Linked DNA regions of Saccharomyces cerevisiae S288C. Changing the gene in region 3 together with the main gene of any one other region gives a genetic interaction. Each region holds a gene or a part of one and is shown on either strand. Other genes may lie near its edges. The genes, in order: BUD6, ASA1, PFY1 and BEM4.

Region 1 (8,919 bases), on a different chromosome or scaffold from region 3:
TACGCATTCGTTGATTTATTGATCAATTATACAGTAATTCAATTTAATGGGCAGTTTTTCACTCAAATCGTGGGTAACAGATGTAACGAACCTCATCTGCCGCCCAAATGGGCTCAACGATCATCCTCATCATCCGCAACTGCTGCGCAAATCAAACAACTTACAGAACCAGTGACAAATAAACAATTCTTACACAAGCTCAATATAAATTCCTCTTCTTTTTTTCCTTATAGCAAGATCCTTCCTTCATCATCATCTATCAAAAAGCTAACTGACTTGAGAGAAGCTATTTTTCCCACAAATTTGGTTAAAATTCCTCAGAGACTAAAGGTACGAATTAATTTGACGCTGCAAAAGCTATTAAAGAGACATAAGCGTTTGAATTACGTTTCTATTTTGAATAGTATTTGCCCACCATTGGAAGGGACCGTATTGGACTTGTCGCATTTGAGTAGGCAATCACCAAAGGAACGAGTCTTGAAATTTATCATTGTTATTTTACAGAAGTTATTACCCCAAGAAATGTTTGGCTCAAAGAAAAATAAAGGAAAAATTATCAAGAATCTAAATCTTTTATTAAGTTTACCCTTAAATGGCTATTTACCATTTGATAGTTTGTTGAAAAAGTTAAGATTAAAGGATTTTCGGTGGTTGTTCATTTCTGATATTTGGTTCACCAAGCACAATTTTGAAAACTTGAATCAATTGGCGATTTGTTTCATTTCCTGGCTATTTAGACAACTAATTCCCAAAATTATACAGACTTTTTTTTACTGCACCGAAATATCTTCTACAGTGACAATTGTTTACTTTAGACATGATACTTGGAATAAACTTATCACCCCTTTTATCGTAGAATATTTTAAGACGTACTTAGTCGAAAACAACGTATGTAGAAACCATAATAGTTACACGTTGTCCAATTTCAATCATAGCAAAATGAGGATTATACCAAAAAAAAGTAATAATGAGTTCAGGATTATTGCCATCCCATGCAGAGGGGCAGACGAAGAAGAATTCACAATTTATAAGGAGAATCACAAAAATGCTATCCAGCCCACTCAAAAAATTTTAGAATACCTAAGAAACAAAAGGCCGACTAGTTTTACTAAAATATATTCTCCAACGCAAATAGCTGACCGTATCAAAGAATTTAAGCAGAGACTTTTAAAGAAATTTAATAATGTCTTACCAGAGCTTTATTTCATGAAATTTGATGTCAAATCTTGCTATGATTCCATACCAAGGATGGAATGTATGAGGATACTCAAGGATGCGCTAAAAAATGAAAATGGGTTTTTCGTTAGATCTCAATATTTCTTCAATACCAATACAGGTGTATTGAAGTTATTTAATGTTGTTAACGCTAGCAGAGTACCAAAACCTTATGAGCTATACATAGATAATGTGAGGACGGTTCATTTATCAAATCAGGATGTTATAAACGTTGTAGAGATGGAAATATTTAAAACAGCTTTGTGGGTTGAAGATAAGTGCTACATTAGAGAAGATGGTCTTTTTCAGGGCTCTAGTTTATCTGCTCCGATCGTTGATTTGGTGTATGACGATCTTCTGGAGTTTTATAGCGAGTTTAAAGCCAGTCCTAGCCAGGACACATTAATTTTAAAACTGGCTGACGATTTCCTTATAATATCAACAGACCAACAGCAAGTGATCAATATCAAAAAGCTTGCCATGGGCGGATTTCAAAAATATAATGCGAAAGCCAATAGAGACAAAATTTTAGCCGTAAGCTCCCAATCAGATGATGATACGGTTATTCAATTTTGTGCAATGCACATATTTGTTAAAGAATTGGAAGTTTGGAAACATTCAAGCACAATGAATAATTTCCATATCCGTTCGAAATCTAGTAAAGGGATATTTCGAAGTTTAATAGCGCTGTTTAACACTAGAATCTCTTATAAAACAATTGACACAAATTTAAATTCAACAAACACCGTTCTCATGCAAATTGATCATGTTGTAAAGAACATTTCGGAATGTTATAAATCTGCTTTTAAGGATCTATCAATTAATGTTACGCAAAATATGCAATTTCATTCGTTCTTACAACGCATCATTGAAATGACAGTCAGCGGTTGTCCAATTACGAAATGTGATCCTTTAATCGAGTATGAGGTACGATTCACCATATTGAATGGATTTTTGGAAAGCCTATCTTCAAACACATCAAAATTTAAAGATAATATCATTCTTTTGAGAAAGGAAATTCAACACTTGCAAGCATATATATATATATATATACATATAGTTAATTAGTACTAATAATACATGAAATACTGACAGCTTATGATGCTGATAAGGAAAATATTGCCGCAAACTTTGTAATAAGCCAAAAGCACTAATCTCTTTTCCGTTAGCTTTCATAAAATTAGTGTATTTAAGTAAACCCCGGCCCAAAATATGCTCTCAAATTTGCTTCATCCTTCTGCTTTCTTATCCTTTCTACTTCTTCAAAGCCTCCCGATTTTTTCAGGTTTGAATTACCCACAAAATTTTCCAGTTCATCATCAAATTCATTACTAGCTTTAAGTTTTCTTTCCATCTCCCACATCTTCTCAGCCTTGTCAATAGCTTCGACCCTACTATCGTGGTCAGGGTTTAAAGATTGGACGGCCACCATAACTTGCTCCCTTACCTGATTAAATGTGCCCGGTCTCATAATAGGCAAAATAGGATTACTTTTTGATCTCGAAGGGTTTTTTTCTTGTTCTTCACAACATAACTTAATAAGATCGAAAGTTTCTAATGCCTTACCCAAGTCTTCCTTCAAATCTAAAATCAACTCTTCCTGCAACGTGAGAAACTGTTGTTCTTCACAGACCTTATCGAGCTCAGCTTCCCAAGTTTTTTTCCAATGTGGTTTTTCAGTATCAATAAACTCCTGTAGTTTAAGTACATCTGCTTGGGCATTTTCTAAATCCTTGGATACGGTTTCTAGCTTCTTTTTAGCGGGCTGAGACCTACGCTCAGCAACGTCTTTCCTCATAATTTCGATTACATCTTGCAAATCATCTACTTTACTTAGCAGAGTATCGGATAAATCACCGAGTTCGGTCTGTGATTTTTCCATGTACATTCTGTTGGAAGAGTTTTTGGCAGAAAATGATAAAGACTTAAAGTTATCGACCTTTCGTAAAATGTTGAAAATAGTCTCATTAATATTTGACCTATTAATATTATGCACTTGTTTTATTTTCCCCAATTCGTACTGAATATCTTTGATCGTTTTATCATCATCTTTTTTGTTTTGCCCCACAAGATCGTGTTTGTTAGCTTCAAGGCCAGGTTGTGGTAAAACTTCCGTTTGCTTGCCGCTAATTGCAGAACCAAAACTCATTTCTTTTAAATGTCTTATTATATCATTCTGACTATTCGATATCTCCATCTTAACTGTGTCAATGAATTCCTTGATCGTATTATTTGGATTCTCTTCGAGCTTTAGCTCGATAACAAACCCTTCTTTAATATCGAGAAGATTTAGTTCCTCTAATTCATAGAATACTCCATATTGAGGATCCATAATATATATGTCTGGGAAGGAATTTGCTCCAGGAGAATACGCAAAGCGCTCAATAAATAGGAGCCTTAATGCGTTTTTTGTAGTAGGCAGTTGCACATGACACTTCTTTGTTTTGTCTCCTATCCTTAAAAATACTGGACAAGTTCCATTCATGGCTTTATCTGGCGAAGTTGTAACAACGCTTGATAATCTTCGTGGAGATGCACGAACATTCTCAATAGGCAATGGCGTTTTCGCCAATGGACTCGCCTTTGATACATCGTCAATGCTTTTACCCTTATTTTCAGCTGAATTAATGTTTCTATCATCATCATTGTTGTTATTTCCGTATAACTTTGACTTTCTTACGGTTTCCTCTAGATGCAACATCGAGGGTGAAGGAGTTGTCATGAGGCCGGCAGCCGCAGCAGCTTCTGTTGTAGACTGATTTGTCAATTTAGCCATATGGTAGGCAGAGTATCTCTTTGAGGCTCTCCTTTGTAAATTAGTTCCCTTCTTCAATTGTGAAAGTGCATCATCATCATCAGATGCGTTTGGAGCATTGTTAGATTTAAGGTTTTGTTTAATATTAGTTCTTGGTTTTGTCAATGTTGCCTCTGCTGACTGAGCAGAGGGTGTTCCCGTAGAAGTAGAATTCACTTTTTCCCCATAGCTGTTTTCGACTGAATCGCTTTGCCTCTGATCACGTACAATACTGCTTTTTCTGCTACTTAATGGAGTCCCCTCACGGGTCCCTTCACTACCCAATGAAAGGTTACTAGTAAAGGAAGGGTTTTGTTGATGATGTGATTTTACACTTATCCGATGCTCTTGCTGCATATTCTTCAAAATTGCTTGTTTAACCTTTAGTTTGTCTAAAAGTGTCACTATAATCTCTCTGATTTTTGGCAGATGTTTATTTAAAGTTTCATCAGATGGTGGTTCCCTCAATGTCACTTCCAATACACGTCTTAAAGCCATTGGCACATCACCAACATCTGACATGTCAACTTTCGCATGCATGAAGAATTTCGATACGACTTTGAAGTCATTGCCCAACTGAACGTATGCATCAGATACTAATCTTCCAGAGGTTGTCCCCTTAGACCATTGTGTTAAGACCTGGAGGAGGTGCTTGGTGGACATCAGCAACTTTGTTACTGTCGTTTCAATACTACTACTGCTAGAAGCAGTTCTTTTAATCTTTGGGGTGCCATACGTAGGGTCATCCACGGCCATCTTCATCTAATTTTAAAATAATACGAGGATTACTACACCAATTTGGCAGCCAGCTTCTACTCTTTTTCCCTTTTCTTGGGTTTGTTTTGATGCCATTATCTCAAGAATGCATAATAGTAGGATAAAATTCGTTCAGCTCGGCTAGCGAGATATCTTCAAAGAGTAAAGCGCATCTGCGTGTAAAATTAAATTCAAGAAGTGAAAGAATAAAAGATAGGATTGTAGATTTGAAGTTTAGTGGTAGCGTCAGCAGATAAGCTTATGGATGTTGATGAACCGAATCCTATTGTGATATCAGATTCTGAGGCCACTGATGAGGAAATTAGTATCATATACGAACCCGAATTCAATGAAAATTATTTATGGGCAGAGGAAAACGTCCAAGAAGCAAGCAGATCACAGAAAATTGTCACTGAGAGGTTGAGCCTGGATTCCACTGCTGGAGAATCTTGTACTCCTTCCGTAGTAACTGATACACAAGTTACTACGGGGCTTCGGTGGTCTTTGAGGAAGAGGAAGGCTATTCAAAAGATGCCATACAGTTTAGAACGCATAAAGCATAGGCAGTTGCTAGAGGGCTATGATATCTCTAGTTTTGACAGCATTTCGAATCAGTTGACCTTACCGAAGAACGCTTCTACAGTGATTCACTCAAATGATATTTTACTTACAAAGAGAACTGGTAAACCCTTAGATGAGCAGAAAGATGTTACAATCGACTCCATTAAACCCGAAAACAGCTCGGTTCAATCTCAAAGATATGATAGTGATGAAGAAATACCAAAGAAAAGGCATCGTACTTTTAAAGACCTCGACCAGGATATAGTATTTCAATCAGGTGATTCTACGGAAGATGAACAAGACTTGGCTAGTACAAATTTACAGAATACTCAAAATGACGAAGTAATATTTAGAGGAAGAGTATTGAATGTAAGAACTGGTTACCGTGGGGTCCTGCCAAGAGTTGCTTGGGAAAAGTCGTTGCAAAAGCAGCAGTCTTCAAAAGTCACGAAAAGAAAAACTCAATTATTGAACCATAAGGGTGTGGCTAAGAGGAAAATGAACAGAAGCGCCCATATTGAAGATGAAGAACAGAACTTATTGAACGATCTTATTGCACCTGATGACGAACTGGATATCGAGGAAAACGCCCCTCCAGATATATACTTAGGAAATCTTCCAGAGGATCGTGAGGCTAACGAAAAGGAATTAAAGGAATTGCAAGAATATTATGAGAGCAAGTATAGTGAAGACGCACAATCGGCTGGAACTTCTGGTTTTAATTTAAATGAGGAATACCGCAATGAACCAGTGTATGAGCTGGAATATGACGGACCGGGGAGCTGCATATCACATGTGTCTTATAAAGACCAGCCTATTATTTATTTGAATTCACGGCATTCAGATAGCGGATTTAGTGAGCAATACAATATATCTGCCGAAGATAATCAAAGTGTAATTTCCCTAGATGCTGCTGAAGAGCATAACGATGGTATAATTGACAAGATGTTGGTTAAACCTAAAAGAATTAAAGCAACCAATGATGCCAACTTTTTGAATACAAAAAGTAAGAGAGTGAGAAGATATAAGTACAAATATCGAAATTCTTGTCTGGCCCCAAGTACAAAAGCTATCAAAGTCGGAAAACGGTCAGCGCATAAATCTCATTTGGCAGCTAATAATCCAGTTTCATTTGTTTCTAAGAAGAATCATGTAATTGATGATTATTTTTTTGAAGAATTAGAATCTCAATCCCTAGAACAGGATGACAGCTCTTCTCTCAAGCCACAGAAAAAAAGAAGGAAGAAGAAAGCACCTATATACTCAAGTTTCTCCGCTGATCTTGAATCGAGACGAAAACCAGTTTTCAATACTGTTGTAGAGGTTCCCACGAACCGATACGCTTTCACAAAGCCAAATGTACGTAATAGGGACAGCATTAATCATGACATGGAATTTGAGGAAGAAGACTCCAATCAAGAGCTTGGACCAATAATGGTCGTACTTGACTCAATTTTACTAAAAAAACCTTTTGAGCCACCTAATTTCTTCAAGATCCAGTTGTCAGACAAGAGTTTCTTGCTATCAAAATTGAATCCTGCAGATATAGCTACATCATTACAGAAAATATTCAGAGTAATCATTGATAAAGGTATCACTGATACTGAACTAGTTCACTTTAACGAAAGCCTTATTGCTTTTTTGGTGCACCTTGACATGCCTGAACTATTCGACTTAATAGGTGAATTTCATCGTGAATTTAGATCGAAGGTCAATAGCTTGAGGAAAAAAGCTAAACCAATCCATTTTTTTCAAATTGCGGCATGCCAATTAATGTTTCTAGAAATATCAAGATATAACAAAATTTCAGCCGCTGCAAAATTCGACATGGATGTCAAACTCTTAGATCATATTGTGTCTTTCTTCAAATTACTTTCTGTCTGTTATGATTCTGTTATGAAAAATCCAATGCAATATCTGTACACAAGTTATTATATTCTCTCTGCTGTCGTTGATGTCATACATAAAAAGGAAGCTTTGTGGGATTTATTTCAAAAGCACCCCTTTTCGCCTCATATTTCACTGTTGCTGGTCAACATATTTCCTACGAAAGTCTGCCGCTGGCAGGTTTTGAGATTAGATTCTGAATTCCAACCCTTGAGTTCGGCATTTCGGTTCATCAATTATTGCATTGAGACTTGTAATTGGAATGTTACAAATTCTTTGATTCTTTCTCTCGATCGCATATTCAAACGGAGAAGATTTTCGGACTTTGAAGAAGAGTCTGATTTGTCACAAAACAATAAGATAATTTATCCTCCAACGAATCAGCTTACGAGTCGATTAATGTTTAACAGATATTTGCATCTACTGACGTTGTGTGAATTGTCTAGTTCTGATACACAACGTGTGATACCGATGGGTGATATTTCTATGAATGATTCTCTATCTGTTTTGAAGAACCGCCTCAACCTACTAATTGTTCTAGCTACACGTTTTGATTTAAACTTAGAGAAGCGCTTCCAAGAGCTAACACGACCGTTATATAGTAAGGAATATTTAAACTTGCATACACAGAACACAGTCAGGACGATAACAACATTGATCATGCAGGCCAGCCTTTCATTCCTGGAAATCAGTCGAATCAAAAATCATCCATTCAGTGGAAAATTTATTGCGTCATTATTTGATAAACTAGTACTTCAACAACCTTCCATATCGGGAGTAACAGAAAATTTTTTGAAAGAATTCACAAATTTAGTCTCCAAAATGAAAAGAAAAAGCGTGAGTATGCTCAAATTTCTGTATCCTTCACTGGTGGCCATGTCTCAAGAAAATATATTCGAGTCGTCTTTTTTTTTATTATTACAGGTATATTTGAAGAGCTTAGATGTGCTGGGTCCAACTTGGGTGCAAAATTATCTTTTTCAGTTTATAAAGAGCAAGGCTCAAGAAAATGAAAGATGGATAGAATGCTATTGTCAGATCGGAAAATTCCTCGTAGATTCTGGTATATTTACCTGGTGGACTTTCTTTACCTATAACGGCTTAGATGCTGCATTACACTTTCAGCTTGCATTTCACTCCCTTATTATCGATTTCTGTGATACAGACTCTTTTGAATTACTGAAAAAACCGCTTTATTCCATTGCTTCTGATTTGCTGCTCATTTCCAAAGATGACGCTTTCTATCACTTTCTTTCCAATCTGTTGAAGAGGGCACATATCATAGTAGCAGATTTGAAACCTGTTTCCGATGAGAATGAACTCCTGCGATTGGCTTATATTTTTTCTAAAGCATTGAAAAAAAATGCATATCAAGATCTATTAGCTGTTTTCTTATCCCTGGCGAAAAAACATTACGATGAAGGGGACATCAGTAGAAATTTCTTGGCAAAATATCTCGAATTTCTTAACAAAAATTGCTTGACTGAGCTAAGAAATAATCAACTCTTCATCAGTCTAAGAAGGGAACTTGGTATTTCAAGTGATGAAGACGAAAAATGTGCGTTCTGGGACTCATTCAATGAAGCAGGTGATATACTTTCCAAAGCTGCATTTGTTGAAACCGGTATTGTTCAAGCCTGTTGCACTGGGAATGAAATTGATGGATATCTTGACAATTTAAGCACTTTATTCACCTCCACCATGTT
Region 2 (4,932 bases), on a different chromosome or scaffold from region 3:
ATACTACTCACATCCATCTTTTATTTTTTAATCCCATCGCAGCGAGTTTAAGCCTGAAAAATAGTGAACCAGTTGAAAAACACTAATAACATCGATGCAAAACTAACTATCAATAAACTGTTGTGTTTTTAGAACTCTGTACGTTGTTTCCTATCCCAAGAGTTCAATAAGACGCAGCCAAGCTTTTATTCTCTTGACTCGTCCATCATAGAGCTTTATAGAAATGTCAGAGAAGGCTTCTGAAGAGAGACCCATACGGCTGGCCGTTCTGGGGGGCACTTCTACCGGAAAGACCTCCCTGGTATCTAGGCTTACTGTTAATATCGTCCACGAGGTTCATTATCCAACAAGAAACCAAACTAACTGGCTTTTCGGCTTTGTTCCGTCATCGATCCTGGCCAGAGCTATATTAGACGAACAAGCTCACGAAAGACTTTGCCTTCGTTCCCCAAGCAGCCAAACCTTAGAGCCTATCTTCCCTTCACCTCAGGTCTCCAAAAATGTACTGCTGTCGCCATTGGTGTTTCAAGCTTCCACTGATAATTTTCAATCAGTGAGGTTACACAACAAAAGCCACTCCAGGAGATCCCTATCTTTGGATAAATCTGATTCTCCGCTGTATCAAACTTTTTCCAATGACATTAACTCTCAAAGTGTTCCTAAAATCAAGGCAGACCAGCTTAACGTTATCGAGCATTTTAAATTGCCCCTGAATTACATTCCACCCACTTATGCACCAATCCAGATTGATATTATTGATACGCCTGGCTTCAGTCCTGATAATGTGGTGCCGTTCTTAGAAGTTTCTCTCTTCCGAAATTTAGGAAAATCAATCCTACATGGACTAGCAGATGAACCAAGACGACCTGTATCTACTACTTCACTATTGGTTGCCTCTGGTGCCTCTGAGTTGAATGGTAAAGTTGACGGTTATATCTTGGTGTATAGCGCAGTCCCTGAATTAAACCATATTGGAGGCCCTCCGGAATATGGAGATGATGTGATGAACACAGATACGGAAAACGTCAGCGATGGTGGATTTGAACTTTTAAAAGTGATTAGAAACTGCATACTAGATGCTTGGACTGAATTTCGAAATTATGAAAAAAGATGGGAGGAAGGCAAAGAGGATGATATTTACTCATTGGTTTACAGCCTGAGACATCTATGGAGTAAAAATAGCAAAGAGAAAAGCGCCAAAATAGAGCAATTGAGATCCTATAATACCAAACTAAAATCCATCGAGTTAGACCCCTCATCTCCCGATTCACCACCACCATGCATTATCGTCTGTTCTCACGTTAATCATGAACTCGCAAGCCCAATGTTGATTGAAATGGGAAGACAACTAGCAACAAAATGGAAATATGGATTTGTTGGAATAGACAGCATGGATGATTTAAATGTCGATGTGGCGGTTAGCTTACTAATAAAGGAAATATCAGAAAAGATGAAGCTACTGGTTTCTAATTCCAATGGAAGTAGTAGTAGTGGTAATTCAAGTTCAATTTACAACTCTCATTTAATGAATGACAAGAAGAAAAACAACAATGCCGGCTTAAACAAAAATATGTTGAAGAAAATTATAAAATAATTGATAGAGGGAAGAACTCCCTTTAACATTCTTATGACCATGATACATCGCACTTTTTTTTACTTGGATTGAGGAAATATGTATATATAGGCACGTATGTATATATACAAATGTTCTTTCTGAAACCATGTAAACAGAAAAGGAAAAAAAATAATTATATTTTATTGAGCTTTATGGTACCATCTTCATATCCAATTAAACACCAGTTACATTTCGCCAGCGCTTTAATACGTCTAAGTTGTCCTAACCTCAACCCATCTGACTGCACATCAAACGATTCCAAACATGTCATGGCTCCCACTTTATAGTTATGGGATTTCGAGCTGGATTCGGTATTTGAGCCGCTACCGTTTGTTAGGTCTCCCATAGAGCTATCACTCACGACCAGGTTGTTCTTTGATTTCACAAAAGTTTGCTCCACTTCTGAAGTCCGCATATTATAAACAATGGTCATACCTGACCAACTACTCACGACTAAGTAATCGTCTTTTACTTTATCAATATGACCAATATTCTTCAAGGGAAGATGTACTTTTGATGGCTCACTGACTCTCAGTGAGCTTGGGCATTTTATCAAAAGCGCATCATCTCTAAGGTATTTCGTCTCAAGTTGTAAGTTCACTGGAATTTTGTACTTGGTTATGAAATCGTCTGTTGAACAACTATAAAGTTCATCCCCGCTAACACACATATCAAGTATTGGATTCGGATAATGATCGTTAGAAACATGGACCAGTTCTGCAATGTCCCTTTGAAGGCCTTCATCAAAAGTAATTTTAAATCCGACTACAAACCCATTTTCATAACCTAAAAATATGACATCGTTTAATTTAGCAAATCTCATTATGATACCGAATTTGGAGTCTTTCGAAATTCCTAAAAAATTCTGCTGCTTCAAGAATCTGGGGAAATTAATATTATTGAATGGTCTTTTCAATTTAAATGTGGAGTCTTCTATTATCTGATATATATCGATAGTTTCCGAATCATCAGTATGACAGCAAACCAATCTATAACTTTTATTATCTTTGGTTGGTTTCACTTCAGCTTCGATGATGAAATTCGCAAAATTCAGTGTGTTTATGGGCATTTCATAGATTTTAGTCCATTGTAAATGATCCGTTTTATTGGCTTGGCTAAGCTTTCTAACTAAATCTATAGATAGTTGTGTAGATGAATCAAGCTCAAAAATTCGCAGCATGGAGTCTTTCGAAAGAATGTACAGCACATTGGTAGTTTCCACCCACCAAAACGCTATAATGTGCGAGTTGCCCTCGATTTCTATATGTGTAATCGGTCTCTTGGTCACCAGGTCCCACATAACGAAATAACCGTAGTTATCACCGGATAACAAGACTGGCACATTCGAAACTGACGGTGCTTTGATGACCTGCAAAGCTGTGATGCCCCTTTTATGGTAACGTAAGGTGAAATCGGATAAAGTCAACGTTCTCTTCAGGATTATCTCATTACTAAAGCCTCTCATGTGTTCTACGCCCATTGTAATCGACGCTCGCCTTGACTGCACATCACACCCAATTTATGCACGTGCTTAAATAGTAGTTTATAGCTTAGTATCTCTGTATTTCTGTCTTACTCATCACCGTTTCGTCTCAATATTTGCTTAAAAATCGAAAAATTTTGTTATAAATTTAGTTAAAAAAAAGTGAAGAGAATAATCATCACTTATAAAGACAACTTAATAGACGCTGGTGTGGACGATCCAGTGATAGAGAAGGGGAGAAGTAGATACGCAGAATGATGACTAGGGAGAGCATAGATAAAAGAGCAGGAAGAAGGGGTCCTAATCTGAATATTGTGCTGACGTGTCCGGAGTGCAAAGTCTACCCACCAAAAATCGTTGAAAGATTTAGTGAAGGGGATGTTGTATGTGCTCTATGTGGTCTAGTACTATCAGATAAACTGGTTGACACCAGGTCGGAGTGGAGAACGTTTTCAAATGATGATCACAACGGTGATGACCCAAGTCGTGTTGGTGAGGCTTCAAATCCTCTTTTAGATGGGAATAACCTATCTACAAGGATCGGAAAGGGTGAAACCACGGATATGAGATTCACCAAAGAACTGAATAAGGCACAAGGAAAAAATGTGATGGATAAAAAGGATAATGAAGTACAAGCTGCATTTGCTAAGATTACCATGCTATGTGATGCTGCTGAATTACCGAAGATTGTGAAAGATTGTGCCAAGGAAGCATATAAACTTTGCCACGATGAAAAAACTTTGAAGGGGAAATCAATGGAGAGTATAATGGCTGCATCCATACTGATTGGTTGCAGACGTGCTGAAGTGGCAAGGACTTTTAAAGAAATCCAGTCATTAATCCATGTCAAAACTAAAGAGTTTGGTAAAACTTTAAACATAATGAAGAACATTTTAAGAGGCAAGAGCGAAGATGGTTTCTTGAAGATTGATACCGATAATATGAGTGGTGCACAAAACCTAACTTATATACCCAGGTTTTGTTCGCATCTGGGCTTACCGATGCAAGTCACTACTTCTGCTGAATATACCGCAAAGAAATGTAAAGAGATCAAAGAAATTGCAGGTAAATCCCCTATTACTATCGCTGTTGTTTCCATCTATCTAAACATCCTGCTCTTTCAGATCCCTATTACCGCAGCGAAAGTGGGCCAAACCTTGCAAGTTACTGAAGGTACCATCAAATCTGGTTACAAGATACTTTATGAGCATAGAGACAAGCTTGTGGATCCGCAGCTTATTGCTAATGGTGTAGTGTCTTTGGATAACTTACCGGGCGTTGAAAAGAAATAATGAAGTGATAAAACAGTAAATTATAGGAACAAGAAGCACGGGTACTCGTGTTAGAGGGTAGAACCTTTTCCATGGCAGTTCAATCGAATATTTATTTTGTTATTTTACAATTCAAAAAAATAGAATGAACACTTTATAATTTAACAAGATTTTTCTTTTTTTTTTTATTGAAGGAGGTATTCGAAAGGATGAAAGCTAAACAAGTTATTTGAAATATGCATACATACATATATATATATACTGTGTATATTCAAATGGTGGCCTTTAGCCCATACCGAATTGTTTTGCCATTTGTTGCATTTGTGGATCTTGCATCATTTTCATCATTTCGTTCATATCAGGCATTCCTCCGCCCATTCCTCCGCCCATTCCGCCACCAAACATGTTCATCATATTTTGCATTAGACCTGGATTTTGCTTCAGCTTTTGTTGTGCCTGCTGCATCATTTGTGGAGTCACTTTTGGCATACCAGGCATATTCGGCATACCAGGCATGTTTGGCATACCCGGCATGTTTGGCATGCCAGGCATCCTAGCATTGG
Region 3 (6,737 bases):
CAATGAGGTCTTTGCAAGCAAAGGTGTTCAAATGGATGGCGCCTTCGATTTTAGTTGTTAGCGGAATGAGGATAACAAATTCTGAAGAATACGCAGCTGAGAAGAATCCAAGATACCGCCATTTTCTTGAAGAATTTCCTAAATTGAAAGAGTCAGATCAAATGATGGATGCATCGCATTTGAATAAAAGGAAAACTACTTTCGCTGTGTACATAGACGATCCGTGGAAAGTAACAAATAAAGATTATTTTGGCGATCTGAATACGAGAATAATAGAAATATCACCCAGGCAGGATATTTATAAAGTCAACCAAAAAGGCACGATCTATTTCAATACAATTGGTGGCGGAATTGGAATCGGGGATAAACAACCATTAATAAAACCAGCATCCAAGAGATACATACCAGGGAACGTGTCGCTTACTTTTGACAGCACATTAGAATTTGCTGTGTTTAGAAATACTGGTTACGGAGGTTCATTAGACCCTGGTTTATTGTCGATGGAAAGAAAGGAGGAAAATTCCCCTTATGAATTGCATTTTTTGATTCAAGATGTTGAGGTATGGGGCTGTGGTGGTGAGAAAGAACTAGAAGAGCAAATCAAACAGTTGGAATGGGAAGAAGCAGAATCTAAAAGAAGACAGCAAATTAACCTGAGAAGCTTGGGAGAAGACCGTGCCTTACTGGAAATGGCAGGTTTAGTTGGCCAACATCAAGGTGGCGGTTCAATGTGATGCCTGCCTTTTTTGCTGTTTTTAGTTATTGGGATTGATTTCACTAAAAATCAAGACCACTAAATAAGGCTATTGTTTATTTTAATATTTATTGCACTTGTATGAAAAGTACCAAACTTTTGATACTGATATTACACTTTTAGTCTTGAACTTTCTTCGTTAAATTGCTGACCTACTTTCTGTTCTTCGACTCCAAACAACGATTCCCAAATGTATTTTCACAGGGCCGCATTATTTCTTTGATTTCGTTTTTTTCACCAATTTTTTCTTGATGTGCTTCTTGACTTTTGTTTTCCTTTTTTCTCTTTTTGCATCTTTAGCTTCCTGCTTGCGCAATTTTTTTAAATCCTTGTCCTCATGTTTCTTCCCCTTTAAAACTTTTGGTTCATCATCGTCATAGTACTCGCCCTCCTCCTCGTCATCTTCTTCAGATCCGCTTGAGCCGTCTTCTTCATCATCTGAGAATTCCTCTGTGCCAGAACTACATTCGTGGTCAGCGTTATCAAATTCAAATTGCTCAGAAGCAGCAAAATTGCGTTCATTATCATGGGCAATCAAGCTTTTCAGTAAGTCAAACTTACCATCAGTATACCTATCAAAATCTCTTTCCTCTAATCCACCCAATGATCTAACTAAATGCAGCGATCTGAATATTTCATCTTCTGCCTCATCTTGTTCTGTAGATTTTATTGGTAGATTACTAGCAATGTATGCAACCAAGGCGCTAATATTGTTATAATCACCTTTAAATTTCTCCAAAGTTTCTGATATGACAAATTGAAAAATAACCCTTTCAGGGAAAATACTTATACCCATCTTCTCGAAATAAAGGTTAACGTTTTTGATATCCATCCTTAAAAAATCTAAACTCATTGGATGTTCAGGTTCCACACTTTGGGAAACATCGATCATATATAGTTTATCATCATGAACTATGGTGTTATACTCTGACAAATCGGCATGAACCAGGCGACAAACTTGGTACAGCAATCTCATATATGCCACCATTGTGTGATAATAATGGAAAATTTCATCACGATTCTTGTACGGATAATCTTTTAATTTAGGTGAGGCAAATCCATTACCTCGGCTTAAAAATTCCATAACTAAGACGTTGTTCTTAACTTCTATTGGCTTAGGAGCTGGAATGACGCCACTTTGATAAATTCTTTTCAGGTTCCTAAATTCCTTTTCAGCCCAAATTTTAATCATTTTCCTTGGATTATGTTGAGATCTGGAATTTCTAAATCTAAATTCACCATCAACATATCTTTCACGATCTTTGAAGACTAGGATAGAGGTCTTATAAATCTTAATGGCATATTCTGCACGGGATCCGTCTGTCTCTAAAACTTCATACTGGCCTGTTTCCTCATCTATTACGGGTGCCTTACCGGTACCTGCAAAAGCGTGGTAAACATTAGCTTCTTTCCCAGTACTTAAGCAACCGTTCAAATCTGCAATCACACCTCTGGTGACCATAGACTTCAAAAATCTCATAGTTCTCGGATCTAAGACATTTTCCACAGTCGCCCTATTTGCTTTATCCTTTGATGTTTTCGCTCTGCTGAATGATAATTCATCAGTTTTTATTTTGTGACTATACTTCTCTAAGAGCTGATTATTAATATGGTCCGAGGCACCTTGCGACACAGACAATGAATCAAATTTATCTTCCAAGGACATGACCTTCTAAAAATAACGGAGTTTGAATCTCTAAATCTGTTTTAACTTCTTTTTACTATTATTTTTAGTCTTAGTATCTCATCTCATCTCAATTTCTATATTCCACTATAAAATTTTTCACTCTTTCTGCGCGCGCCAATGTCCCCGCAACTACTCAATAGGTAACATGAGAATATTTCAGTTCGTAAGAGAGAAGAGATGAAGTTATTTGGGCTCTTTGCTCGAGGTTACAGAAGGGCCGCATTAGAGTGAATGAGCTGATGATATTTCGCCCAGTTCTACATTTTTTTTTTTTTGGAAGTATGACCTCTGTTAAATTTTTTTTTTTTTAAATTTCACTTTCTAAAGTCCCAGAAATCCGCTTGAATGTCTTACATATTGCAATGGATATGCTTGGGTGATCATACTTCCTGGCTTTAGATATTTGAAACTTAACTCTTGTCAACAAACTTCCTATGGAGTGTATAAGAATTGTAAGTTATAACACCGGCGAACAATCGGGGCAGACTATTCCGGGGAAGAACAAGGAAGGGCGGTCTTTTCTCCCTCATTGTCATAGCAAGGTCATTTCGCCTTCTCAGAAAGGGGTAGAATCAATCTAGCACGCAGATTGCAAACACGGCTTAATAATATGCCTATCAGGCATTCACCCGTGTGACGAATCGCACACCGCTGCTCTCCTTAATTCCCTAGAGTAGAAACCGAGCTTTCAGGAAAAGACTACGGCAGTAAAGAATTGCTTTACTGGGCGTATAAAACCGGGAGAATCAAGACATTCTAATGACTTGATTCAGGATGAGAGCTTAATAGGTGCATCTTAGCAAGCTAAAATTTGGACAGCTCTCATTACTAAATTAAGATAGAAAAATGCCTGCTACTTTACATGATTCTACGAAAATCCTTTCTCTAAATACTGGAGCCCAAATCCCTCAAATAGGTTTAGGTACGTGGCAGTCGAAAGAGAACGATGCTTATAAGGCTGTTTTAACCGCTTTGAAAGATGGCTACCGACACATTGATACTGCTGCTATTTACCGTAATGAAGACCAAGTCGGTCAAGCCATCAAGGATTCAGGTGTTCCTCGGGAAGAAATCTTTGTTACTACAAAGTTATGGTGTACACAACACCACGAACCTGAAGTAGCGCTGGATCAATCACTAAAGAGGTTAGGATTGGACTACGTAGACTTATATTTGATGCATTGGCCTGCCAGATTAGATCCAGCCTACATCAAAAATGAAGACATCTTGAGTGTGCCAACAAAGAAGGATGGTTCTCGTGCAGTGGATATCACCAATTGGAATTTCATCAAAACCTGGGAATTAATGCAGGAACTACCAAAGACTGGTAAAACTAAGGCCGTTGGAGTCTCCAACTTTTCTATAAATAACCTGAAAGATCTATTAGCATCTCAAGGTAATAAGCTTACGCCAGCTGCTAACCAAGTCGAAATACATCCATTACTACCTCAAGACGAATTGATTAATTTTTGTAAAAGTAAAGGCATTGTGGTTGAAGCTTATTCTCCGTTAGGTAGTACCGATGCTCCACTATTGAAGGAACCGGTTATCCTTGAAATTGCGAAGAAAAATAACGTTCAACCCGGACACGTTGTTATTAGCTGGCACGTCCAAAGAGGTTATGTTGTCTTGCCAAAATCTGTGAATCCCGATCGAATCAAAACGAACAGGAAAATATTTACTTTGTCTACTGAGGACTTTGAAGCTATCAATAACATATCGAAGGAAAAGGGCGAAAAAAGGGTTGTACATCCAAATTGGTCTCCTTTCGAAGTATTCAAGTAATTGTTTTTGCGTGTTTCTCGTATGATTGTAATATGTAGATAAATTAAACATAAGTATATCAAATGTCGATATTCTTAAGACTGTTTCGTAAATATGTTAAATACCGGATGTGACTACATATAAAAAGTGCGCCTTTTACAGTGATAATTAGCGTCAATCAATAAAATATTTGTAAAATAGGAAGCGAAATCCCGCAGATGCCAGAATAGGTGGTGTATAAGGCAAGAAAACTTTACCTGCATAAATTAGTATTGAACACCAATCAAGTAGTCAGCCAATTGCTCGACAATCTTGGTGGCCTCACCGGCTTGTACGGTTGGTGGATAATGAGCAATAATAACGGTTTGCTTAGTTCTTACACAAACAACACCCTCAGCATCATGTCTACCGTAGATACTTCTATCGTCAGCTCTCAACAACATGAACTTTTGGCCTTGAATATGCAAACCATTGCTTTGCAAACCAGCTGGATTGTCGAAGCCTTGAACAATTTCACCAATTTCGTTTGGTTGCAAAGATAGGCCACCAGAAGTAGCCCAAACAGCGTCACCTGCTCTCGAGTAGATGACAGCTTTGTCGACTTTACCGGTTCCTATTAAGTTATCAGTGTATGCTGTTTAAAAGTAGGAGAAAAAAACGGAAAGAAATTCATGTTTGAAATTTCATATGTTTTTTGATATTCCAGTTAGTAATTTACTCTGAGTGGTTAATCTTCGAAATTACGCGCATCAACAAAAATCGGGCATTGCCAAACATTGTCACACAAGCTAACCTCCGACTCATTTCTTTCTTAATCAATTGATAATTGTCTCGTTCACATACCTTGCCAAGACATAATTTGCGATCGTAGTTGGGTTTATGTTGTGTATGTAATTTATCTTTTCTCAAGGATCACACAGTTGTTTTAAGAAGGGAATGAGAAAGGGTCAACTGAGCTTTAAAAAGAAAAAAAATATTAATGCGGGTAATGAGTTTCGTACAAAGACATTTCATGGCGTGTTCTCGCCAAAAATCATGGTAAAACCTCCCACACAGTAACCTCATACTAAATACTACAACATGTCATCACTCCATTTCTTTGCGATTGTACATACTAATATATATAAACAAAGTAACGTCTCCTCTAATCCTCGTCTTCGTCGTCCTCGATGACCGCAACCCTTCTTCTTTTTGTCTCGCTCCTATCTTTTTCTTCTTCTTCCTCTTCTCTGTACATTGCTGCTCCTTCTCTTTTTAAATTTCTTAGACGAGAGGCGTTCTCTTCATCCGCGTCCTCTTCTTCTTCTTCTTCCTCATTATCATCCTCTTCGTCGTCAAACGCAGCCTCCTCTTCCTCATCGTCGTCGACTAAAAAGTCATCTTCTTCATATTCATTTCTTCTCGAGGCTCCATAGGTAGTGGGTGAATTTTGCTTTCTAAATCCCGTCTCAAAAGCGGCATCTGGGGATTCTTGTTTCTCCTTTTCTTTGAGCTGTCTTCTCCTTCTGTCTCTTAAAATCTGGCTTTGCTTTCTCTCTAACTCCTTCTTTTCCACTTCAGGATCCATACTTACAATGTATGTTCCAGGACCCTTGCTTTGTCTTTGGTTCCTTCTTATAACAGCTTTACTTAGTTTTTGATGTATTTTTGAATTCGTCGAAGTTGGAATAAACATCAACGTCTTTTTTATTTCACCCCCTTCGTAACACTGGATCAACTCTTGTTGGTCATGCGATACTGTCAAAAAAGTGTTGCTCGTATCGTTGACCAATATATCTGTACACTCTTCACCAACTTTTAGCGAATATGTACCGTCTGACCACTGCACTATTTGTGTATTTGATTCTTTAAAGACATGTTGGTCTTTGTCACGAGAGTATCTCCATCTAACAGTGTTTTCATCAATCAGGCGGTCGTCCAGTTGATCCTCCCTAGAAGCTGAATTGCTTGCCCTTTCGTTTACTTTGGCCTCAAAACTTGGAGGGTCGAAAGGAATTGGATCGATAGTTAAAAAGTTGGGAATTCTAGCATAGAAAATTTCGTTGTGAGACGCCGTTTCATTCACATTAGCTTTACTTGGAATAATATGTCTGACAAGCTCTACATTTTCCTCTTTAAAAGTGTGAGTAGTCTCATCTTGATCAGAAAAGTTATTAGCATCCTCACCATAAAATTTTCGGGTGTACATGGCTTGCTCCTCTGCTTCATCATCATCTAACCCGAGACTTTCTCTATGACGACTTCTATGGTTGATATTCTCTCCCTCGTCGTCTTCATCACTATCACTATCACTTTTTTCAGTCTCCGATTTTTTAACATCATCATCATCATCGTCATCATTGTCATCTCCAAATAAATCATCTAGTTCTGCGTCTTCTTCTTGTTCCTCTTCTTTAGTATCATCATTTCCATTGACTTCCTTGACATTATCATCTTGAGAGCGGCTTGTTTCCTCATTGCTTGTACTATTGGTGGTAACGCCGACGTTATTGCTGATTTGCTCCTTCTGTGGTTGATCCTGTGGGCTTTCAG
Region 4 (8,562 bases), on a different chromosome or scaffold from region 3:
TGAGTTGACGAGTTCACGTTCATTCTTCCTTGAAAGCCTCGCTGGTTTATGTATCGGTGGTTGAAATCATCATTCGATGTTTATTGCAAACTATTGATCTTTTTTTCCTGCCCCTTCTCGTGGCGCTCGCAAATAAACGCAAACTAAATATAAGCGTACAAACAGACAGATTTTGTGCTACTTATTGATTATTTAGAAAAGCTACTATTGTTCTTGAAAGTCATAATAGAACTACTTATATATGTATCAATGGGGTTGAATTTGCGCTTTATGTATTTTTTAAGGAATGATATGAAAGTTGTCTCTAGTCTATTTATTGAATCGTAAATCAAAAAATACTAGTGATCCCATATAGGATAACTAGTAAAGGTTTCGTTAAAAGTAGCTTTTTTTCTCGATTCAACGTCACGCATTAAATGTGGGTACCGTTGTTAGCAGAACCTGTAACATTACTAGCATCGGCAGTTATAGTAACGTATTTAACAACAGGCTCCGCCGTAGTAGTAACCACTTCGGTAACTGCAGCAGCTGTAACTGTAACATACTTGGTAGACGCACTACAGTACTGTTCATCGGCGGATGTGGTTTGAATCATCTGAGATTGATGTTCAGCAGAGACTAACTTTTCTAAGGCATCAACATTGGAGGCGGCGTCCCCAGCTGTGGATGTCGCTATTGTATTACTAGCTTGGGAATTATATACAGTAACCAATAAGGTTGAGGTCAAAGTAGAGGTGTATGTACTGCCCGATTCGGTTACTGTAGAAGCAATTTCTGTGACGCTCGTGGAAATCTGTTCAGCCTTCTCGTTGGCGGATTCCGTAGATAGAGTTATTATGTAAGTAGAGGTCAGAGTAGACGTGTAGGTGGTGTCTGTGTCAGAATAGGTGGTGGTGTATTCATTTGTGGACGTAGTTAGGCTAGGCGTGCTTGCAGTAGGTGTACTTGCAGTAGGTGTACTAATAATAGCAGCTGATTGGGAGGTAGTGAACCAGTAGGTAGAGTAAAAAGTAGATGTTATGTAGAAGGTGGTTGTTTCATCGCTGTACGTTAATGTTGTCTCTTGAGGTGAAACAGAGTATGTTGGAGTTAATGTCTTCGTGTATGGTGTATAGCTCGTAGTTTCATTGACATATAAGGCAGAAGCGAAGTTGGAGGTTACCAGTAGTAAACTACACAATATTTTGAAAATCATTGCGATATATATTCTAATTTGTTGGTTGTGTTAGACAACTAGTGTACAAGAAAGAGACTAGATGGCCATAACGGATCTTGATAATTCATTTTCTTACGTCTTTTAAATACACTCCCTCTCCATCACATACAGATTGATTTAATGTCTACCTCTTCTAAGCCATCTGAAATTCTTGGGTCTTTCTCTGTTTACGGTTATTTGAAACACGAAATTACTTAAGAACACGAAATGCCAATTATTAGCGTCGCGAATTGAATATCCAATGCGGCGGGAAAATCAAAAAACGAAAATAGAATAGGAAAAACTGCCGTAGTTATAGAATCAAACCTGAGCGCCAGTTTCATTCTTCTAGCGGAGAATGCTTTCCCAAACAATAACCCACAGATTATGTGTTGAAGAGTCTAGGCTTGTGGAAATTGAAATCAAAATGTTTGTTCCCTTTAAAAAAAATCAATTAAGCAAGGAAAGGAAATAAACAGTGCATGCTTTCCTTATCCTTGGAATACTATATTATGCTACCATAGCTGGAAATGTTGTTATCCTTGTTAGGCACTTCATTTGAGACTTCCGATAAATCAGGAATTTCGTCATTTAGGAATGTGTTCGTTTCAAAATTCTCTGCATTGGTTATCGTTAGGCTCTCAGAATGTAACCTGATGACATTGTCGACACAAAAGTACTGGAAGCAATTCAGTAAGATAGGAAAGACAAACATGACCAGAAAAACTTGAAAGTTTGGCCATGAATCTGACCAGCCAAGGATAAGATCGGCGAACCAGTATGCCAAGTCTTCTAAGTAGTTTAGTATTAGAAACACGCAGAACTTCATCACGCCCAGCCCAACAATGAATATAAGCAGCTGTTTCACGAAGGCAGAGAATAAGGGTTTTCTGGGGTGGCTCCCAACGGTTTTAGATGGAAAATAATTACCACTTTCAATGTTTTGGAAGTGTAAGGATTTTAGCACTTTTTCAATTATGTATAAGCACAACCAAAGAATGGGAATCCCAACAGTAGTATCCAGGAGTAAGTTAAGAAAATACCAATCGCATTGATCCTCATCATCATTGCCTTTTGCAGTGATTGCGAAGAGTGACCTTCGTCTTTTCTTCAGTATGCTGATGCCTAGATTCAAAAAATGGATTCCAAGAGAGCCGATGATTTGTTTTCCAATGTCATAACTCCACACAATCATTTTTCTCCTTGGATGCTCATAGTTTCTTTTCACCAATAACACAATCACGGCTGTCATACCCATCAATGTCTGGACAAAAAGAGACACGGGCCCCAACAACTGGCAAGTGTCTTTCCCATTAGAAACATACATATTCTTTTCGATTAATTGGCAGTTCTGCTGAACTTGTGTGACTGTTGGGCCTCCTGCTAATATGTATTAGAACTTTTTCTGCTTAGTACATTCAAGTACTTTTGTGCAGATGTTCGCATCTGCAATAAACTTTTAATCTCCCTTCCACTCTCATCGTCTACAAACCCATACACCATTTGTCAAGCACATGCTTAATCCAACAATATTCAAGATTTAATATTTATATATATATATATATATATACATGCAGAGGGAACGTTTTCTCCCCTCGTAGGTAAGGCGATTACGTGTCTAAAAGAACGATTTTGCAAGCGCTTCTAAATTTTGTTCCTCTGGCGTTAAGCATTTCGTATTTTTCACAATGTTTAGTATTATGCCCGCTATAAATTTCCCATTGTTGAAACAACTCTCGCTACCCTTATCTTTATTTTCTTTAAATGAAAGTATGGTCTCTAATATCAGGGTTAACTTTTGAATGTAATCCTTGAATAGTATATTTTCAATCGGATTCACGTCAGCTGTTACACTTGAATCTTTTAAATAAATTCCAACCGTTTTTGTGATATGAAATAAATCTGAGATGCTTAGTTGTTCTGCTTGACCTAAATTTTGGAATTTGAAGATCGAATCCCATAGGGATGTAATAGCTTCTTTAGGAAGGGCTTTCTTGGACACAAGCAGCTTATCCATCGCAATACAGGACGTTAACGTTCCATGCTCTGCTATAAAAGAGATAATTGTTGGATCACTGCTTATTGAATTGTGTATTTTTGAACTTGGAAGCACCGTTAAAGTTTTGTTTAATAAATTTGTTAATAACGATCTCAGGTTGTTATAATATTTAGTTTGCTCGTGACATCTTCTCATAATCTGAAATAGGGTGAAGAGGTCCTTGATATCTAGCCACATGGTATTTTCCAGATTTAACAGCTTCCTCAGTAAATCTAGGAATCCTTGATATTGTAGTGGGTCTTGTAGCAAGCTACCAACTTGAATCAATTCACTAAGAGATATGAGCTTCAGTAGCGCGACAGCGTCACTTTTGGATGCAACTGAGTTACATAATATCATCAAAGCTGCGGCTAGGGCATAACTACTTGCGGAACTCTTAATAGTTTCGATACATAATGATTGCTCTCGTTTGTTAGAGTTTGTTAGGTTGGCGGAGATGTTGCCTGCGCACGATATGAGTCTTCTCATTACAATTAGCTTATTATTGAAGGTTTTTGATTCTAAGCAAACTAAGGACAATATTAAATTTTTTTGCATGCTTAGCACAAGCTGCTCCTCATTGGTAAAGTTTATAGTTTCATCCTTGGCTACAATAGTTTCAAGACATGTTGACAGATTTAATAGCAATTCACAATTAACGTCCTCCTCATCATCTTCTTCCTCTTTTTCGATGTACTCTTGATTTCCTTGGCCAGCGAACTTCTGAGTTTCAGTATTTGAATATGCTTCGACTGCTCCATCTTCCATTGCCTGCAATTCTTTATTTTGCACATTTGAAGAGATTTTTTTGATGTACTGGCTTAAGAAAAAGAGATCGCTTATTTGAACATTTGAGTAATTGACTTTTAAAATATCGTTCAATAAATCTGAACCTAAAACAACTTTTTCGGGAGATGACAAATAGCTATATTGTGTGGTTTTCAACAAAACAAATAATGGACCTCTAATGAAGGGAGCCAAATTTTCTGTATACTTGAGATTTCCAATGCAAAAATTCCTTAGTAGCACAACTGACCGCATCTGTAATTTATCCACTAAGCTATCCTCACTCTTGTCAGAAGAAATTTCGTCCAGCTGAAGAACCCCGCCTATATAATAATTAAGAAGCTTTTTACCTCCAGAATCCAAGAGAATTTCCCGATTATCATCATTATCAATTATTGCGTTAGCGATACATCTAATCACTTCAGAACTGATCTCATAAAACGCTATTTTATCATTAATTGAAATGCTCGTATCATGAAAGCAGATATCAAGCGCTTGTTCTAATACTCTTACTAGGTTCAGTAGCAGCCCAGTTTTACCAACAATATCTCTATTACTTGGTTCTCTCAACGAAACAGCCAATTGGTCCATTACCGCTAGGTAGCTTCCTAAGTAGACATCGTTCATCGGAACATCCTTTATTGAAGACGCATTGAGGATCGGTTGCAGACCAAATAAAATTTCTTCGTAATCCATTTAGTAGGACAGTTATTTTCACTTGAAACCACAATCTTTTGGGGCTGAAATATAGATGAGGTGATTTGTTATTCGCGGTTAGTTTTAGTTCGCGAGTGACCTGCTTACGTTGTCTTCAGCCATTTTACGTTGCTTGGCTTGCCGCCGGCGGGTAATATGATCTTATTTTGACATGGTTAAAGAAAAATACTTTTGACTAAGTACCTTTATCACAAGAAAGTTTAGGAAGGGATTCACTATTTGAAGATCAGACAAATGAGTATACGATATTGGCTCAATATTTTAGCCGAGTTTGCTTAAACTTAGTGGCAGAACTTTAGTCATGGGAAGACAAGAACGATCTTACGAGGCCCTTAGGACCTCGGCGGCTAACAGTAAAACTGGTAACTGACGGACAAGGAATATCAAGGTCATATTTTGAAAAGGTCTTTTTGGGTGACTACTTGGGTAAGAAATAATTAGACGAAGTTTCTTTCTGATGTGTATTGAACTAGTGCTCGTGCTTACATACACATCGCCCATTATTGCCTATAGTTATCCTCACTTTATACGAGGTCTGGCCGTTAACGGTTCTTTTACATTGAAAAACTAAATCAGTCACCCACGCAAATAATGAAAAAAAAAAAAAAATCAAAAGCGAAAAGAAACCTAACGCATATTCTATTCAAACGTTGAATGATTGTATTATTATAAATCATAATCACGTAAAGCCACCGAAATTTTTTTCCAGAGTGAAGAATATAAAAAAAATATCTTTAACCAGTCTATAATGTCTTCTGGTTTGGTCTTAGAAAACACGGCACGTAGAGATGCGTTAATCGCCATCGAAAAGAAGTACCAAAAAATATGGGCTGAAGAGCACCAATTTGAAATCGATGCGCCATCAATCGAAGATGAGCCCATTACAATGGACTCTGAAGAGTTACATCGCACGTATCCTAAATTCATGTCGTCTATGGCCTATCCTTATATGAACGGTGTTATGCACGCCGGCCATTGTTTTACTCTCTCCAAAGTCGAATTTTCTATTGGTTTTGAAAGGATGAACGGTAAAAGAGCTTTGTTTCCATTGGGTTTTCACTGTACAGGTATGCCAATCTTAGCATGTGCCGATAAACTAAAGAGGGAAGCCGAACTTTTTGGCAAGAACTTCGACAATGTACCAGCAGAAGAAGAAGAAATTAAAGAAGAAACGCCGGCTGAGAAAGACCACGAGGATGTTACCAAATTCAAAGCTAAAAAATCTAAAGCCGCAGCCAAGAAGGGCCGTGGTAAGTACCAATTCGAAATCATGTTACAGCTTGGTATCCCTAGAGAAGAAATCATTAAGTTCGCCGACGCCAAGTACTGGTTGACCTATTTCCCACCTTTGTGTGAAAGTGATTGTACTTCACTTGGGGCTCGTATCGATTGGAGACGTTCTTTTGTCACCACTGATGCCAATCCTTATTACGATGCCTTTATTAGATGGCAAATGAACAAGTTAAAGGCTGCTGGTAAAATCAAATTCGGTGAACGTTATACTATTTACTCTGAAAAAGATGGTCAAGCTTGTATGGATCACGATAGACAATCCGGTGAAGGTGTTACACCACAAGAATATATTGGTGTGAAAATTGAAGCTTTAGAGTTCGCCGATGATGCCGCAAAAATCATTGATTCAAGCTCAGATCTTGACAAATCCAAAAAATTCTACTTTGTCGCTGCCACGTTGAGACCGGAAACTATGTATGGACAAACATGTTGTTTTGTTTCTCCAACAATTGAGTATGGTATATTTGACGCTGGTGATTCTTATTTTATCACTACTGAACGTGCATTCAAGAACATGTCTTACCAAAAGCTAACACCAAAGAGAGGCTTCTACAAGCCGATAGTTACTGTCCCAGGTAAGGCATTTATCGGTACCAAGATTCATGCCCCACAATCTGTATATCCAGAACTAAGAATATTGCCTATGGAAACTGTCATTGCTACCAAGGGTACTGGTGTCGTCACGTGTGTACCATCTAATTCACCAGATGACTACATTACCACCAAGGACTTGTTGCACAAACCTGAATACTACGGCATTAAACCTGAATGGATTGACCATGAAATTGTTCCAATTATGCATACCGAAAAGTATGGTGATTTAACTGCAAAGGCTATTGTTGAAGAAAAAAAAATTCAATCTCCAAAGGATAAGAACTTGTTAGCAGAAGCCAAGAAAATTGCTTACAAGGAAGATTACTACACTGGTACCATGATATATGGTCCTTATAAAGGTGAGAAGGTCGAACAAGCCAAAAACAAGGTTAAGGCTGATATGATTGCCGCCGGTGAAGCTTTCGTCTACAACGAACCAGAATCTCAGGTCATGTCACGTTCTGGTGATGACTGTATCGTTTCTTTGGAAGATCAATGGTACGTTGATTACGGTGAAGAAAGTTGGAAGAAACAAGCAATTGAATGTTTGGAAGGGATGCAATTATTTGCTCCTGAGGTAAAAAACGCATTTGAAGGTGTTTTGGATTGGTTGAAAAACTGGGCTGTTTGCCGTACATACGGGTTAGGTACCAGATTGCCTTGGGATGAAAAATACTTAGTTGAGTCTTTATCAGACTCTACTATTTATCAATCATTTTATACCATTGCTCACTTACTATTTAAGGATTATTATGGTAACGAAATTGGACCATTAGGCATTTCAGCTGATCAAATGACAGATGAGGTTTTCGATTACATTTTCCAACATCAGGATGATGTCAAGAACACCAATATTCCTTTGCCTGCTTTACAAAAGTTGAGAAGGGAATTTGAGTATTTCTACCCATTAGACGTCTCAATTTCCGGGAAGGATTTGATCCCTAACCATTTAACTTTCTTCATTTACACACATGTTGCATTATTCCCAAAGAAATTCTGGCCTAAAGGTATCAGAGCTAACGGTCATTTGATGTTAAACAATTCTAAAATGTCGAAATCTACAGGTAATTTTATGACTTTAGAACAAACGGTTGAAAAGTTCGGTGCTGATGCAGCTCGTATTGCGTTTGCCGATGCGGGAGATACTGTTGAAGATGCAAATTTTGACGAATCTAACGCTAATGCTGCTATTCTGAGATTATTCAATTTGAAGGAGTGGGCAGAAGAAATTACCAAGGAATCTAACTTGAGAACTGGGGAAATTACAGATTTCTTTGATATCGCGTTTGAACACGAAATGAATGCTCTGATTGAAAAGACTTATGAACAGTATGCATTGACTAATTATAAGAATGCCTTGAAATACGGTCTTTTTGATTTCCAAGCTGCTAGGGATTACTATCGTGAAGCTAGTGGTGTAATGCATAAAGATTTAATTGCACGTTATATTGAAACACAAGCCTTATTGCTGGCTCCAATTGCGCCTCATTTCGCTGAGTATATTTACCGTGAAGTTCTAGGTAACCAAACCTCTGTACAAAATGCCAAATTTCCACGTGCATCCAAACCAGTAGATAAGGGTGTTCTGGCTGCTTTGGATTACTTGAGAAATCTACAGAGAAGCATAAGAGAAGGCGAAGGGCAAGCACTAAAAAAGAAGAAGGGCAAGTCTGCTGAAATCGATGCATCCAAACCTGTTAAGTTGACTTTATTGATCTCTGAATCATTTCCAGAATGGCAATCACAATGCGTGGAAATCGTCCGTAAACTATTCAGCGAACAGACTTTAGACGATAACAAAAAGGTCAGAGAGCATATTGAGCCTAAAGAAATGAAGAGAGCTATGCCATTCATTTCTCTATTGAAACAACGTTTAGCTAATGAAAAGCCAGAGGATGTGTTTGAAAGAGAGTTACAATTCAGCGAAATCGATACTGTC

What was found.
Region 1: mutations in PFY1 (region 3) and BUD6 are lethal when combined (synthetic lethality), as found in Saccharomyces cerevisiae (3 studies listed by BioGRID, with this or other methods).
Region 2: mutations in PFY1 (region 3) and ASA1 together harm fitness more than expected from each alone (negative genetic interaction), as found in Saccharomyces cerevisiae (2 studies listed by BioGRID).
Region 4: mutations in PFY1 (region 3) and BEM4 impair growth when combined (synthetic growth defect), as found in Saccharomyces cerevisiae (2 studies listed by BioGRID, with this or other methods).

The regions. Positions count from the first base shown.
Region 1 is NC_001144.5:766,914-775,832, forward strand, and holds BUD6 (formin-mediated actin nucleation enhancer), read right to left. Parts: upstream 4,772-8,919; coding exon 2,405-4,771; downstream 1-2,404. Other genes in the region: EST2 (telomerase reverse transcriptase), read left to right, coding at 1-2,283; MMS22 (Mms22p), read left to right, coding at 5,027-8,919.
Region 2 is NC_001148.4:706,749-711,680, forward strand, and holds ASA1 (Asa1p), read right to left. Parts: upstream 3,081-4,932; coding exon 1,749-3,080; downstream 1-1,748. Other genes in the region: YPR084W (uncharacterized protein), read left to right, coding at 224-1,594; transcription factor SUA7, read left to right, coding at 3,353-4,390; RNA-binding signal recognition particle subunit SRP54, read right to left, coding at 4,655-4,932. UniProt on the Saccharomyces cerevisiae protein: Component of the ASTRA complex involved in chromatin remodeling.
Region 3 is NC_001147.6:547,827-554,563, forward strand, and holds PFY1 (profilin), read right to left. Parts: upstream 5,062-6,737; coding exon 5,049-5,061; intron 4,840-5,048; coding exon 4,472-4,839; downstream 1-4,471. Other genes in the region: RTC5 (Rtc5p), read left to right, coding at 1-734; protein kinase RIO1, read right to left, coding at 966-2,420; glycerol 2-dehydrogenase (NADP(+)) GCY1, read left to right, coding at 3,288-4,226; Paf1-complex subunit LEO1, read right to left, coding at 5,350-6,737. UniProt on the Saccharomyces cerevisiae protein: Binds to actin and affects the structure of the cytoskeleton. At high concentrations, profilin prevents the polymerization of actin, whereas it enhances it at low concentrations. By binding to PIP2, it inhibits the formation of IP3 and DG.
Region 4 is NC_001148.4:241,506-250,067, forward strand, and holds BEM4 (Bem4p), read right to left. Parts: upstream 4,716-8,562; coding exon 2,814-4,715; downstream 1-2,813. Other genes in the region: SVS1 (Svs1p), read right to left, coding at 413-1,195; YPL162C (uncharacterized protein), read right to left, coding at 1,701-2,522; leucine--tRNA ligase CDC60, read left to right, coding at 5,485-8,562. UniProt on the Saccharomyces cerevisiae protein: Probably acts as a GEF (guanine nucleotide exchange factor) for the Rho family of small GTP-binding proteins (G proteins) that stimulates the dissociation of GDP to enable subsequent binding of GTP.